2 linked regions of the Diceros bicornis minor genome follow. The protein of the gene in region 1 interacts with the protein of each later gene in a biochemical or structural test. Links are inferred from orthologs where the notes say so. Each region holds a gene or a part of one and is shown in the gene's direction. Other genes may lie near its edges.

Region 1 (7,574 bases):
CTGGTGCTAAAATTGTGAGTATCTGTGTTGTGCTGGGGCAAATGTCCATAGGTTTTATAAGATTCTCAGTGGGCTATGATTCCCTCCCTCCACCACAAAAAGTTCACAATGACCAAGAGCGACTAGTTGGAAACTGGCTACACAGTAGCTATTTCTCTTTACTGATAGTTCTCATGTTCCAGGGCATATATAGGAAACACATCACACCAAAAAATAGATTGAATTCTCTGACTTCAGTGTTGGTCATTCTGTCTTGCCACTTAAGAGTGATTTGGAGAAGCTGTCAATTAAAGTAGTCAAGGCTCATTGTGACATTCATAGGTAATTAAAATCTTTTACCCAGGAGAAAATTGGGACTAGCGCTGCCCCAATAATCTGAAGTTTGGTCTGGAGCTGAGTACTAGACCATGACATATCAACGTTTTCTCCATGCTTGTTGGTGATGTTCTCTCACTTTGGTATAACTAGGGTAAGCTTGCAAAGTCGTTTCATGTCCAATGACTCATTTGATCTGGTCAGGTTGGCAGGGCAAGGATTATTCGCTTTGCTCTATCAAAAAACAGCCTCTGTAAGGTTAGATGACCGGCCACGGTTACATAGATATTAAGGTTGCAGCTGGGTGTCAAACCCACATTTTCTGATCCCTGCTTTCTCCAGCATATCTTGCTGTCTTAATCAGGACAGCATTTGAGGGTGGGATTCTAGGCAGATTAATTCAGTTGCAGTTTTCAGCTGTATACTGCTGATGAAAACCTGTTTCTATTTGTAGGGTTTCCCTGGGGGGTAGGCTGGTGTGCTAGTTTTGGACGTTCTTCAGAATTCTGCTTAGTCTATGATACTATCCTGACTCTGCAAAGCCCTCCTAATTCCCTGCATAGGCATTTCAAGGGCAAAGTCATAAATGGCAATTTTCAGGGCTAGTTGTCATCTTGAATTGGATCTCGAGAATCAGATTCTTGGTTTTCTAGACTAGTGCTGTCCAACAGCATGTAATATGAGCCACACATGTAATTTTTAATATCGTAGTAGTACATTAAATGAGTAAAAAGAAGCAAATGAAATTAATTTAATAATATATTTTAATTCAATATATCCAAAATATTATCATTTCAACATGTGATCAATATAAAAATTATTCATGAGATATTTTGATTTTTTTTGTACTAAGTCTTTGAAATTCAAAATGTATTTTATACCTGCTTCACATCCTAGTTAGAGCTAGCTACATCTTAAGTGCCTAAATGGCTAGTGGCTACTGTATTGGAAAGCACAGGTCTAGAAAATTCTTCCAGGAAAAGAAATACAGTGAAGAAAAAGAAGCCCCCTTCCCTCTATTGATAATGGAGAATGAGTTGGGTAGTGGCTTTTCTTTTTTGTGTGTGAGGAAGATTAGCCCTGAGCTAACATCTGTTGCCAATCTCCTCTTTTGGCTGAGGAAGATTGGCCCTGGGCTAACATCCGTGCCCAGCTTCCTCTACTTTATATGGGACACCGCCACAGCATGGCTTGATAAGTGGTGTGTGGGTCCACACCCTGGATTTGAACCTGCAAACTCTGGGCCGTCGTAGTGGAGCACACAAACTTAACCGCTGCACCACTGGGCCGGCCCCAGTAGTGGCCCTTTTATTATGATATACTTCATCATCAATCATCAATCATACATCATCATAGAGAACCTCTTAGCCTCATAGCAAATTTAGCAAAACTACTTTCTAGTGACCCAGTAGCTTCCAGAACGTGGTGCCAGTTGCAAAATGTTGAATAGGACCATTAACACACATACGTGGAAGAAACAGTCTATTATGCGATTGGGTTATAAGGCTTGTGTGCTCAAAAAATATGTTCATCTAGCCTGCCATATGCCTGACACACCTTCTATTAAAACACTTTTTTCTAACAAATTTTTTTTTATGTATCTATTAAAATGTGCACACAGAAGTCTAGGGCCTGCTGGGCTGGGGCAGGTAGGAACTACAAGCATGAATAAAACATAGTTCCTGCCTTCAATGAAACTTGTGGTCTGGGAGGGAAGACAGTGGCTAAAACAGTTAAGGGTCAAGTGTCCACTGCATGGTGAAGACGAAAATCACCAAACTCCAGCTCTCAAACAGGACCAAGTTTTCTTCAGAAAACACACGTTAAAATTCCATTGTTTTTCTGAATTAGGAGCAAGTGAAATAATTACCCTTTAGTATTTACCAGTTATATTGGCATAGACTTAGTTGTTGAATTTGTTTGAAAAGTAGAGCCAAAAACCCTTTAGAAGTGGAACAGATTGTTTTCATGAGGGAAAAGAAGAGAGGGGACAGCTGGGAAAGGTGTGGACTCCTTTGTTGTGACAGGATGGGGAAATTTCTTGATGATGGGGAGTGGTAGCTTGAGGCATTAGGTAGAAGGCTCTAGTGCCCTGTGACTAGGGGATAATGCTGAAGAGAAGAGGGGCAAGAGTGAACAGAATGAACACAAACTTTGTCTACTTCACAGCTTTGCTCATTCCTGGACTGGTATTAAATGCTTATATGAGCAAATAAATACAATGCATACATTGACACTGGGGAAGCAGCGGAAGGGAGGGTAGTAGTTAAGGTCCAGAGTTCGGGAGTCAGGCAGCCCAGCATCCTGTGCGACTATGGGAAGTTACTTAACCTCTCTGTGCCTCAGTTTTCTCATAAGTAAAAAAATGGTTCGTTATAGGATTTGATGAGATAATGTACATTAAGAGCTTAGGATAACGGCTGGCACGTGGTGTGTACCCCATAAACATAATTATTATTAGTTTTGGCACTAATTATTACATCAGTAATAATTATTAGCTGTGGTGCGCCCCTCATTTGCTCCTGAAGTTTCACAGGCAATCCTGATAGCAAGTAGGATGACAGGAGACAAATGCTCCTGATTGTCTCCCTCTACAATGGCAAAACTGGGGCAACGAGATGAAAATGACTTGCCCAAGGGCTCAGAGGCCACTCCTAAAATGGGGAGGGAGGCCATTTAAGGCAGTGGCAATGGGTTTCCCCAAAGACAAGGGTTTAGAACACTCATAGGCTGGAATTAGAATCCAGGCTGCACCACTTAATTCACGGTGTCATCTCCAGAAGTTACCCGATTGCTCTGAGCCCTCAGCTGTTCACCTGTCAAACAAGGATAATAAATATGCCTAGGGTGGTTAAAACTCAATAGCATGAAAAATGTATGTGGTCTGGGCTTAATAAAATCAGCCTCCCCAGTTACCGTTATTACTATTGTTGTTATAGCAGATCCTACGCAGAGTCAGGCAGTGCCTGCCTGACATGCTGTGCTGGGTTTTGGCTCACCACTGTGGCCCAGAGCCTGGCATAGTGCTTGGCATCCAGTAGACACTTAGGAAACGTTTGTGGAATGAATGCACATCATCTGAGGCAGGGAGGGCAGCCGGCTGACTTGGCCTCGGAGCTTAGCTCTCGCTCTCCTTCCAAAAACAAGAGCCTGAAGCAGCTTGTAGCCCGAGAGCCCAGGCACTAGTTAGCAGTGAGCTGAACCCACCTTCAGTCCCTGAAGCTCCTGTCGGAGCTGCTGGAGGGCCCCCCCGTTTGGACACGCATCTTTGTGTAAGCGGCTCTCTCCGAAGCCCTTGTTTTTCTGGTTTGCGGTTTATTTACTTAAGCATTTACAGCTCCCGGGAGCAGAGGGGCTGCTTGAAGCAGGGTCAGGACCGAGGTCGCGGTCTCTATTTATTTTCTGTCTCCCAATCTCAGCGCTGGCAAGTAACAACACGGCTCCTTTATCTGTGCACCGGAGAGGCTTGCGTTTCTTTACCTCCTGCGGGGCGAAGAAGGACGCACGGAGTTCGGATACAGAAAAGTGTTCTCAAGCCACTTGCCTGTGTCCCCGCTTGCGTGGACCGTCGCTCCCACACTTAGTTTTCTGTGCAAACCAGAGCAAGGCAGAGCAGATTAAATAAAGACAACCTCGCGCCTTTAATCCTTGACCGCAAACACTGGCGTTTTTGTGCCCTGGATTTCTGAAATTCTTGGCTCCGGGACTCAAGGCGGGGGGAGGGTGGGTACAGCTTGTAAAAACTTCCCAAAGCACAAATCCGAGCTCCTCCCTGCCCCTCGCTCCCAGTGATACCTGGATTCAAAGGAAAAGGGGCAGCCAGAGGAGGAGCGTCCCCAGAGGCTGGGGGCGCCCCCCAGGGGTGGCTTTCGATCACGGGCTCCAAGCCAGGCCAGCTACCCCTGAAGACGCGGGTTTGAAGCCCAGACGCCCCGCGCGACGCCCCTCCTTCATCCCCGCGAGCCGTCTATTTAGAGCCCAGCCCGGGAGCCCAGGGGATTCTGGGACTTGTAGTCCTCCCCTGCAGCCCCAGGCGCCGCCACGACCTCAGACTTGGACTACATTGCCCAGGGAGCTTCCCGGCCTATATAAGCAGCGAGGAGCGGCTTCAAAGTGCAGTAAGCATGTGGATGTGCTGCTGAAGCGTTTCCTCAGTCTTGCTGGGGTGGGAGGAAAGGAGGAGGAGGTGGTGGTGGAGGAGGAGGAGGAGGAGGGAGAGGCAGAGGGTGGAGAGAGAGAAAGCGCACGCCGAGAGGAGGTGTGGGTGTTCCGCTTCCATCCTAACGGAACGAGCTCCCTCTTCGCCGACATGGGATTACCGAGCGGCTGCTAACCCCTCTCCTCGCCCTGCTCCCCCAAACCGGCGTGGCTCCCCGGGCACCAAGGTAGCGGCTGGGGCTGGGCAGAGGGCGCGGGGAGTTGGTACTGCACCCCCGGGCGCAGAAGTTTTTGCCCCACTCTCTGGGAGTTCTTGGTGGATTTGCATGCACTTGCATGCATTTGGGGGTTCTTTTACTGTGGGCATTTGGGGGGGGTTCATTTCAGGTAAAAAAATTCTCGACTCCAGTGATTGGCTTTGAGGGCTACCCATTCTAGACTGGAATGGCATTCCCTCAAGTTGGAAACTTGCAGCAACTGCAGGAAATAGTTTTTTTTTGGGGGGGGAGATTGTGGGGGTGTCATATGTGAGTCCGTTCAAGGAAACAGTCTTTCTTAAAATGTAGCCCTCCCTCGAGCTGCATGGTTGGGAAAATAATGCATGTGTGGGGGCCCCAGTGGGGACGGTTTTAAAAAAACGGAAGAAAACCCGGGGAGCGGTGAGGGATGAAGTGTGGACGAAGCTCACGCCCAGTGAGGATGCGGGCTTCGGATACTTGGCCTCCGCTCCGGGAAATAAGTGCTTTGGGATCTGCCAAAGACTTCCCTTAGTTCCAGCTCCCCGGCACGTTCGAAGTTTGTGCGTGCCTCGTCTCACTTGTCAGTTACATGCTGGAAATAAGGAAGCGAAGTTACCTGTAATCTTTGCCCAAGTGATCCGACCCACCTGCCTGTCAAATTTAGGGGGAAGGCTTCTCCAGGAAGGAGGCTAAAGAAGGTGGAAGCATGGAATTTGGAGCATTTCTATTAGGGAACCTTCGCGGTCTCATAGTCTTTCTTTCTAAATACTTAGGAGCTGATTACAGAGGAGCAGGATTCGCACCCCTGGCTTGGCGTGTTTTGGCAGCAGAGTGCCTGACCTGGGTCAGGTGAGTGTGGAAGCCTGAGTGCTGTAGTCAATAATGAGTTTTTGTCCTAAGCCTACTTTAAGTGCTCTCTAAAGAGCCATGGAGATGGGGAGTAGGAAGGAAAAGGAAACTCAATGGTTCAGTCTCCAAAATTTGTCACTGCCTTTGGTGAGGGCTTTTGGGAGCAGAGGAGATCCAAGGGGCAGTCCTACCTTGCACTTTTGGCCATGGCTCGGAATTGAAGCAGAGTGAAGATTTATGAGAGGAGGGGAAAAAAGCCATTAAATAAAAAGGATGCCCATTGGTGGCCTGAGAATTGAACTTGCCAGGCAGCATGTTGATGATTTAAATTCTGAAGGATGCAGTGCATTTCATCTGCCAAGATATGTAAGCAAAAATTAACTGCCTCTCTCTTTCAAAAATAGTCACTTTCTTTTTTCTTACTGTCAATGTGTGTTTAATCAGAGTAGGTTGGATTGCAAGAAATGAAAGTGATTGCTGGTTAATTGAAAGAATTAGAACTTTAGAAAGGGAAGTCAGTTCTTCAAGCATAAGTTAGTAGCATCCAGCCCTTGACTTGAAGCCACTTGGATGTCAAGGAATCTGATAGGTCCCTGTTGTTTAGGTACCTGTAGTGGGATATGACCTGAGGGCAGCATTTTCTGTGAACACAAGCAGCTCCTATTTTTTTCCCCAAAATGGTCAGACTGCACTGCAAGAAAGGGAGGTTTTAACGGGTGCTCGTACATCCCCATTGCTGCAGATTTGGTCATCAAAAGTTTTTTCTTCCGAAATGGTTAGGAACAGGGTAAACAACAGGGTAACGGGTGAGGGACTGGGCCTTGGTAACTTCTTAAACATTCTAAATATTTAGCTGTTCCCTGGGCTACAATGTTTGGGCTTTTCTAATTAAAAAATGAGAGTCAGACACTTCATTATAGTAGTATAGTCCTTTTGTTTCCTGTTGATAAGATCCTCAGGAGTGCTGGTGGAGTGGGAAGCATTTGAATGTATGAGGTCTGGTTCCTTCTTGGAGTTCTATTGACTCCCATGGCTCCATGGGCACTCAAAAGGCCAAGGATTGGGTTCAGTTCCCCTCCTCTCAGTAAGCTGTAGCCAAGGAGAGACTGTTCCACAGACTCTTCTCCAACTGGTTGCTAAAAATAATAATACTGACACATTAAGGACTTGTAAGTCAGATCTAGAGCCATATATCATGGAAACCCTGTGAGTCAGGTACAGGTGAAGAAACTGAGGTGCAAAGAGTGAAATCTCTTACCCAGTAGCTAGTACACAGTGGAAGCAAGGTATAACCCCAGGCTGTGGGGCTCTCCTGTCCTGTGTCCCACAGATGCATCTAAGTTGGGGGGTGGGAAATGGTGAGGGAGAAGCTAGGAAAAATGGTAAACTTATTGCTGTTGATGAAATAACTCTTGCTTATGTCCCACCAATGATGCATGAACAATACTTATCTTGATGTAAGAAGGAAATAATTTTGCTCTGACATAGGGATGAAAGAGTGTGGATGTTTGAGGAGGTGTTAGGTGTTGTACTGAGTTTGTTTTGGAAAGCTGTATGCTGAAAGTCTGAATGAGGAGAGTAAAAGAAACCAAACCAAACCACAAGGAACATTAAGTTCAGCATTAGATTCATCTCATACCTGAAATCCATCTTGATCATCTACATCAAGGCATCTGAGCAGGTTGAAAGAATGAGGCGTTTCTCCATCTGAATAATTCGAAAGTTTAAATTACAGTGAGTCTGAACTGTGAAATGTTATCTTTTCATATATCCTTCAGTTTGCTTTGTGGCCACTTGTGCAGAACGCTTTTCTTTTTCATTTCTTTCTTTCGTGTGTGTGAGTTGAAAGTACAATCTGTTCTTTGAATAATTCAAATCAAAACAGACTATCCTATCAAAATTTCCTTCTTATCGGACAGGGAAAGTTCTTCATGCTGTAAATGAATTACTACTGGCCTCCACTTTGAGACCCGTGAAAGTTGTTTGAGGTTGACAATGGTATCATCCATTTCA
Region 2 (7,949 bases), on another chromosome or scaffold:
TAGGAATCAGCTCGTGACAACCTTGGCCTCACTGTCAGAGCCTCTTACCAACTGAGTTCAGTTGTCACTATATTGATTTTATTTGTTTTTTTCCCCGAAAGCCCCAGTACATAGTTGTACATCATAGTTGCACATCCTTCTAGTTGCTGTATGTGGGACACGGCCTCAGCATGGCCGGAGAAATGGTGCGTCGGTGCGCGCCCAGGATCTGAACCCCGGGCCGCCAGCAGTGGAGCGTGCACAGTTAACCGCTAAGCCACAGGGCCAGCCCCCAGTGGTCACTATATTGAAAATCATAATTATGTCCCTAAGACAGTCCAGTAGTTGTTTCTATTTGTCGGTATTAATCATTTTTGCTCTCTCTCTCCTGCTTGTTTGATTTTCCTTTTTATTGAGTTATAATTTATACACAGTGAGATGTACAGTCTTAAGTGTACAGTTCATGTACATGCATATATTCTTTTTTGTGTGTGTGAGGAAGATCAGCCCTGAGCTAACATCCACGCCAATCCTCCTCTTTTTGCTAAGGAAGACTGGCCCTAGGCTAACATCTGTGCCCATCTTCCTCCACTTTATATGGGACACCGCCACAGCATGGCTTGACAAGCTGTGCATCGGTGCGCGCCCGGGATCTGAACCCCGGGCCGCCAGCAGTGGAGTGTGCGCACTTAACCACTACACCACGGGGCTGGCCCCCAAGGCATATATTCTTATAACCCACATTCGTTTTCATTTTATTTTAAAAATCTTGGAATCCTCTTAAGTGATGAACATTTGGGTCCAAAAGCAGATTTCTGGAAAGGAATCCCCTATTCAGTCCACTGACTGCCCTCTCCCCTTGAAAAAAATTCTCATCCAGTCCTTTCCTGAGTTCCCCAATCACCACAGAGGACTTAAAGCCATAAGAACATTTTGTAATCCCAGCTTTCTGGAGCCTAACAGAGAGATTTTGTCATCTGAAAACAAGGGAGAGATTAAGTGCGGAATTTGATTCTGACAACAGCAGAAAGGAACAGGGCAGATAAGAAACGTCGGAGAATTAATTCAAGCACCACTGTGCAAATGCTCCACAACCTTTTTCAAGACTCTAAACATGACATACAGTCCTGGTCAGGAAAGAACAGTTTTTAAAGGAGTTTGCTGCAGGGACATGACATTATCAAACTGATACGTTAAATGAGAGACCTGGGTACATTTTAAGAATTTTTCCCTGAACCTTGCCTTGCTCCTTCCGAATGGATTCTCTTAGAAATGAGACATCAAGACAGCTAAACACACTGTTCTCTCTAGACTGATGTCATGGTCCCAGACCCATCATCTCTCTTTAACTGCCCTCGTGTGCCAGGGTGTCTTTCCAGCACTCCAAAACAGCTCTTCTTTTGCATAACTTTCACCACGGGTTATACAGTCAAATAATATAACAACATGTAATTATTGAATAATTACAATTTGTACAACACATAAAGGCAAGTGAGAGGCTTTATGTGAAAATGCTTTTAAAGCTATAAAGGTATATATAATCCAAAAGGACTATTTAAAAATTATTTCTACGTGGCAGGATACTGTGCAGTAACCATATTCCCGTTATATCTCACAATCAGAGAGGCAAGCCATTCTCTTTTTCCACATCCAGAACTTTCCATGTCTTAATGGTGGTGTTTCCAAACTATTTCCTGAATCTGATCCAGCCTCTGTGTGTAGTCCTTATTACCTCCCCACCAGACTTAAAACTCATAAAGAAAGGCACGATGTTCACTTATTTCCTGCTCTATTCCCAATGCCTAGCACATGGTAGGCACCCAAGCGTTTTTGTTAAATGAATGAACCTAATTTCCTAATTGCTCTTGCCTTCAGTGTCGTCCTAATCTACTCCACAATGCATCAGCATTATCTTCAAAAACACAGTTCTGCTTATGTCCTGTACAAACTCATACAACCTTCAAGGACTCTCTACGGTCTGTAGAATAAAGGACAAACTCCTGAACGTCACATTCAAGATCCTTCACAGTCTAGTTCCAACAACCTTTCCAGGCCTGTCTTTCCAGCCTTTATCTCCCCCCGCACCCCCCCAAACCACTAAATGATTCCCAAACTTGCTGTGCTGGTTCAGGGACCCAAGACTTCACTTAAGCTGTCCCCTCTCCCCTCTGCCTGGAATGACCTTCCTTTTACTTTCCTTATTCATCTGGTGGAATCTCACTTCTCCTTCAAAGTGCAGCCCAAATGGCACCTTCTCTAGCACCTTCTCCAGCTCCCCTAAAGGTTCTGCTTTGGTGCTCCCATATAACCTACCTAGTCATTCCCTTATTGCCTGTTTTCCATTATATTACAGTGACTTGTATCCTCTTTTTTTTTTCTTTAAATTCTTTGAGAGCAGGGACTGAATCTTATCCTAATTCTTTAATCATCTCCCGAATCTGACCACTTCTTACCACCTCCCCCACTAACACTAGTCCAAGCCACCATCCTCTCTCACTCGTTCCATGCAACAGCACCTGACTGGCTCCATGTTGCCACACTGCCATCCAGCAGTGGACCTGCTGCAAAGCAGCCAATGATCCCTTCACAATGTAAACAGCCATATGCCACTCCTCTACCACAAACCCGCTAGTGGTTTCTCTTCACATTTAGGAAAAATCCAGTGCCCTTGACTCTGGCCCCCGCCTTCCTCTCCAATTTCATCTGGACCACCCTCCCTCTGCTCACTCCAGCCCAACTTGTCTCTTTGCTTCTGCTTGAATATGCCGGCTGTTCCCTCCTCAGGACTTCTGAACTGTCTCCCCTCTGCCAGGAAAGCTCTTCCCCCAGATATATGCGTGGCTTGCTCCCTTACTTCAGTGTGGTCTCTGCTCAAAAGTCCCCTCCTCAGGGAGGACTTCCCTAATCCCTGTCTCAAACAGCACCCCCCCATTAAGCCCTCCCCTCTTACCTGCTTTCTTTCTCTTCCCAGCACTAAACGCCACCAATGTGTCACTATTGATTTTCCATGCATTTATATAGTTGTTCATTTGTGGCTGAAGAAAGAGACTTTGTTTTGTTTACCACCATGTCCCTGGTTCAGAACAGTGCCTGCCAGATAACAGGCACTCAAGTGGATGAATGGATGAATCTTTGTATCCCAGGTGCCTAACACAGTGCTTGGTTCTAGAAAAATCTGTGAAGTGAAGGACCAAATTCATGAATTTTACAAATGAAATGGCATCTTGGCATATATCCAGGATTATCCAGGATCTGAGCACAAGTGTTTCATCGATGGGCTTCATGAACATAATCTTGATTTCTTTTATTTACTCTAATACCATAGATGATGTAACCAGATTCTTCCCTTTTTCAGAAACAGTTGACAGAGGCCTTGCCCAAGACTATTTAGGGAATTTCAGAAAGATAACTAAGAGGGGCACGGGGATTTAGAATACCCTTCAGCCCACTGCCTCTTATCAGCTCCTGAGGGATTCTGACAAGGTATTTGTCTCCTGTGATTTATGCAGAACGTACATTGTGGTTAATCCAGCTGAACACTGATTATTCTGAGGGCGGGAACAGGTAAGACTGATTGACCCTAAATTCTGGGAGGGTGGACCCTTTACCCCCTTTATGTCTGAATGGACATTGCAGTGAGGCTCCAGGGCTGCTGCACACCCGCCTGCCTCAGGATTTGTGCTTGAGTGGCTTTGATATGGCAATTCAGTCCCTTAAAATAGGTGAGTTGGGGCACAATTTGCCACACTTCCCTTGTTCACTTTGGCCTCTGGGCAGTTGCTTTCCTCGCCCAGCCTGTGTTTCTTAATTCCTTGAATATGGCTAGGGAAAAGAAGCAGTGTAGAGAAGGGTGAACTCTTGGCATGAGTGATGTGTATCATATTGGCAATCTGTCCATCTATCCTTCTGTCGAGGCTAAGCGGTGACCAGACTTGCCCTGTTCTCATGCATGGATGGCATCAGGGCCAGAGACCAGAACAAGGAGAGCATGGGAAGTTCGCATGCCACCCGCCTGCAAATCTCAACTATCCCTTTACTGAGCAAGAGTGGCAGAGGGGGCCTCAGAAGGTGCAGAGGGAAGGGAACTAGCTTAAGTGCACGTGTGCCCTGTTCCAAGGTAAGCTAGGCCTTGTACGTGCATGGTGTCGTTTGATGGTACCAAGAAATTAGTTATGATTATTATCTGCATTTTACAGAAGAGGAAAACAAGGGTCAGAGAGGTTGATGACACTTGCCCAAGTTACCTAGATGGGAAGTGGCAGAGCTGGGATTTGAGATTCAAACCAGAACTGTGTGACTCCCTGGCTGCCTACCAAAAGCAGGAATTTCTCTAACATCTAGAAGGGCATGAAGATGAGACGGGTGACAAGAGCTTGAGGGGCAGCAAGTGGGTCCTACCTGAGACTTGATCATCACCAGGCCCTGCAAAGTCCAGATTATAGATGCCACTTGGCTTCTCTTCTGTTCTGAGAACTGAAAGGTCTGTGGCTGATTTACCAGGGTCATCTTGGTGCCACTCCATGGTTCTGGGAGTGGATGAAGCGCCCTATAGAGTGGAGCCTTTCCTTCCAGCAGTGTCCTTCCACGCCATTCTGGCTCTACGTTTGCACGTAGTGGTGTCATAGAGTGCCTTCATTCTCCTTGGGTCTCTAATTTACTGCACCTCTCTCGTCCTCATTTCCAAAGTTGTACTCCCTGGGGAGTGCACCCAGCCTGCATTTCTGGTGGTCCGGCGGTTCCAGGTCACTATGGGAGCCTCCTGCCGTGTTAGGGGCACTACCGGCGCTGCCAAGGTCTGGGCATCTTTGGGGCCCTTCGCCAAGCCCCTTCCCTTGCGCTCCCGGCTCCGCGCCGCAGCGCCCCCTCCGCCGCCAGAGGCCGCCCGGAAGCGGGGCTCCTCGAGCGCGGGGCGGGGCAAGGGGCGGGGCGCGGCGGTACCTGGGCCGCAGGGGAGTCGGGGGTGGGCTCTCCAGGGACAGCCGGCGGCCCCCCAGATTCGCACTGCCAGCCGCCGGGGAGCTCGGGGCTCCGGGCGTAGAGGCTGCGCTGTCACATGGGCGGCGGAGACGGGGCCACATTTAAGCGGCCGGGGGACGGCGCCCGCCTCCAGGGCGTCCTCGGGCTTGGCTCCCGCCGGGCGCCCCGCTCTCTGCCCGCCGGGGGCCCCGCGCCGCGCCGCACCGCGCCGCCCCCGCCGGGCCATGCGAGCGCGGGCCCCGCCGCGATGAGCTCGCACATCGCCAAAAGCGAGTCCAAGACGTCGCTGCTGAAGGCGGCGGCGGCAAGCGGGGGCAGCCGGGTTCCCCGCCACGGCCCTGCCCGGGAGCCAGTGCTGCCCAGCCGCCGGCTGCCCGGCACTTGCCCGGGCACGCCGCCCCCGTCCGGGGACCCGAGTTCGCGGAGGCCCCTGTGCCGGCCGGCGCCGCGAGAGGAGGGCGCGCGAGGGAGCCGGCGCGGGCTCCCCCAGGCGCACTGCAGGCCCCGGGAGGCGCTGCCGGCCGCGGCGTCCCGACCTTCGCCGCCGTCGCCGCTGCCGCCGGCCCGCGGGCGGGATGGGGAGGAACGGGGGCTGTCCCCGGCGCTCGGCCTCCGGGGCTCGCCGCGAGCCCCGGGTCGCGGGGACTCCGCTCCAGCCGCCGCGTCCGAGGCAGACCCGTTCCTCCACCAGCTGCGCCCCATACTCAGCTCCGCCTTCGGCCAGGTAAGGGCCGCGCCTCCCGCCCGCGCTCCCGGGAAGGGCGCTCGGGACCCTGCCGCGGCCGCGCGCTCACAGCCCTCCGCCTGCTGCCCGCGGCCCCCGGGGTCACGCTCCCCTAGTCCTCCCGCAGCCCGCGCCCTTGCCGGCGCTTCTCCTCCCCCGTGCCTGATTCAGCACCCTGTGCGCTGTCCACGCTCCCGGCCTCTTCTGGGCCAGTCGCCACCCTATAGCCTCCCTCCACCTGCCAGAATGGGCCAGCTCTGGAAGGAAGCGACCGCCACAAACGGCCCGGAGATTTGCACGGGTCAAGGAGGGGCGCTCCGAGCAGGTGGCGCCAAACCCACTCCTCTGGCCTCTGGCCAAGACCGCCAGTGAGCGACCCAAGACAGCAAGGAGTTTGGCATGTGGGGGTCAAAAGTGGCGACCTTAGGGCACACAGCCTTGCTTGGGGATGAAGGACCCTAGCCATTGCCTGTGGTGGCCCTTAAAACCTGGGAAAAGTTAAGAAAGCTAGAGGGAGGCTCAAAAATATGAGAAAAGAGAAGAAGTGTCTGGGTAGGCATGGAGGGGCTGTACAGATCCATGGCTCAAACTGGAACTCTGGGGTGTTTTAAGGATATTGTCACTCCAGGGATGCCATTAGGATGGCAGTTGGGCAATTGTTAAGTTGTAGGACGTGGAATAACACCCTAGCCTGAATTGGTGTGCATTCTAGGGTAAGAAAGGTCACTAAGGGGCCACCCGTGGCTCCTTTTGTTTCCTCTAGGCCTTTCTCTCAAGGATCCCAGGCAGCTGGGCATCTGCCCTTTAATCCAGGTTTAGAGTTTGGAGGTGTGCTGCTGGGGAGCCTGTGAACTCCTGAGCCAAGCCAGAATTTCCTCTAGTTCTGAGTCCTTAATTAAGTCAAACTCGTTGGCACAGAGTTGAGGCAGCTCTGCAGCAGCCGAGGAGGGGTGTAATGCGGAGCTCTGATCAGAGTGTTTGCGTGGTGTGTGGGGGGAGAGGGTGGCCTGAGCGTTTCTGTGCTGGGACGTAGCGTAAAGAAGCCGTTTCAAGCTCTGATCCTGCCATGCTGGATCCGAATTCCAAGGAGGCCGTGTGTGTTTTGCTTCAGATCTGCACATTCCTTTTCAAAATACTACTCGGCAGCGGCTGATGCTGGAGGAGGTCAGACATGAAGGCAGCTGCACATGGATTCGGGTTGCACAAGGCTGCTGTGGTGGTGTGAGAGGGCAGCAGTGTGTGGCTTTGTTCCTGCGGGGAGCCCTCATTAGCTGAGTTAGCTGGAAACAGTTCTCCAGAGTAGAGATTTGGATGCAGGGCTGTGCGAGTTAGTGCAGTGAGGTGTTGAGGGAGAAGTTCCCTGCAGGGGCTTGTGTATTAGTGAGGAAGTGTAGAGCGTGAGGGCAAGAGTGGTCTGTAGAGTGGGTCTGGGCTGCAAAAGGAATACTGTGTGGCTGAATCTGTAGCACTTACTCACCCATTTATCCAACATTTTTTGAGCGTCTACTTTGCCCAAGCATTTGCTGGAGACTAGGGAGACAACAGTGAACAAGATAGCCAGGGTTCTGGCTATTTTCGAGTTTACAATCTGGCAGTTTGGAAGGGAAGGTCATTGGCCCAGAATCACACACTTTCTGGTTATTTAGTTTACTGGTGATCTGACTTCATTCCTGGAAAAAGAGCCCTTTCTTTCCAGTCTTGCAGAATTTGTCTGCATGGCCCTTTGCGAGCTCAGAGCATGCCAGCTACCTGCTTTTTTCATCCTGCTTTCTCAGTCATTAAATGAAGACTATTCTCCAGCTCAGTGTTCTGGAATGTCACCAGGGTCACCTGAGTCAGGAAGAGCTGGAAGGTCCCATCAAATATTTACTACCTCCTTCTGGAAGCTCTTGCCTCTGAAGCTGCAGACATTTTTTTTTTTAAAGCTCAGCACATTCGGTTTGGGCTTCCTGCTGACAGCTGTAAGGCATCTGCTCAAACAACAGCAACAACAACAAAACCCGGCCTGGGACTTCTGTGTCAGAGTCTCCACTCTCCTGCAACAGAAGGGAATTAGTCTTTCCTTCCCTTCTCTTTGCTTTGAGAGTTCTGTCCTTAGAGACAAGGTCAGATGGAGAGAAGAGGAATAGGGTTCAGAATAGAGAAACTTTCAGATAAGATCTGCTTAGGGTAAAGTATAGCCCTGAGGAAGTATATGTTTCATGTCTTCCAAGTTCCATTTATTTACTTTAAGTGAATCACTTAACCTCATTAAGCCTCTGTTTCTTTA

Evidence for each region.
Region 2: the proteins of ITPR1 (region 1) and CABP1 form a complex in vitro, tested with the Homo sapiens proteins (2 studies listed by BioGRID). The link is inferred for Diceros bicornis minor from reciprocal best matches to the Homo sapiens genes ITPR1 and CABP1.

What each region holds. Positions count from the first base shown.
Region 1 is NC_080741.1:75,258,227-75,265,800, reverse strand, and holds the start of ITPR1 (inositol 1,4,5-trisphosphate receptor type 1), read left to right. Parts: upstream 1-4,559; 5' UTR 4,560-4,700; intron 4,701-5,485; 5' UTR 5,486-5,561; intron 5,562-7,574. UniProt on the Homo sapiens protein: Inositol 1,4,5-trisphosphate-gated calcium channel that, upon inositol 1,4,5-trisphosphate binding, mediates calcium release from the endoplasmic reticulum (ER).
Region 2 is NC_080774.1:17,077,205-17,085,153, forward strand, and holds the start of CABP1 (calcium-binding protein 1), read left to right. Parts: upstream 1-4,944; 5' UTR 4,945-5,032; coding exon 5,033-5,680; intron 5,681-7,949. UniProt on the Homo sapiens protein: Modulates calcium-dependent activity of inositol 1,4,5-triphosphate receptors (ITPRs). Inhibits agonist-induced intracellular calcium signaling.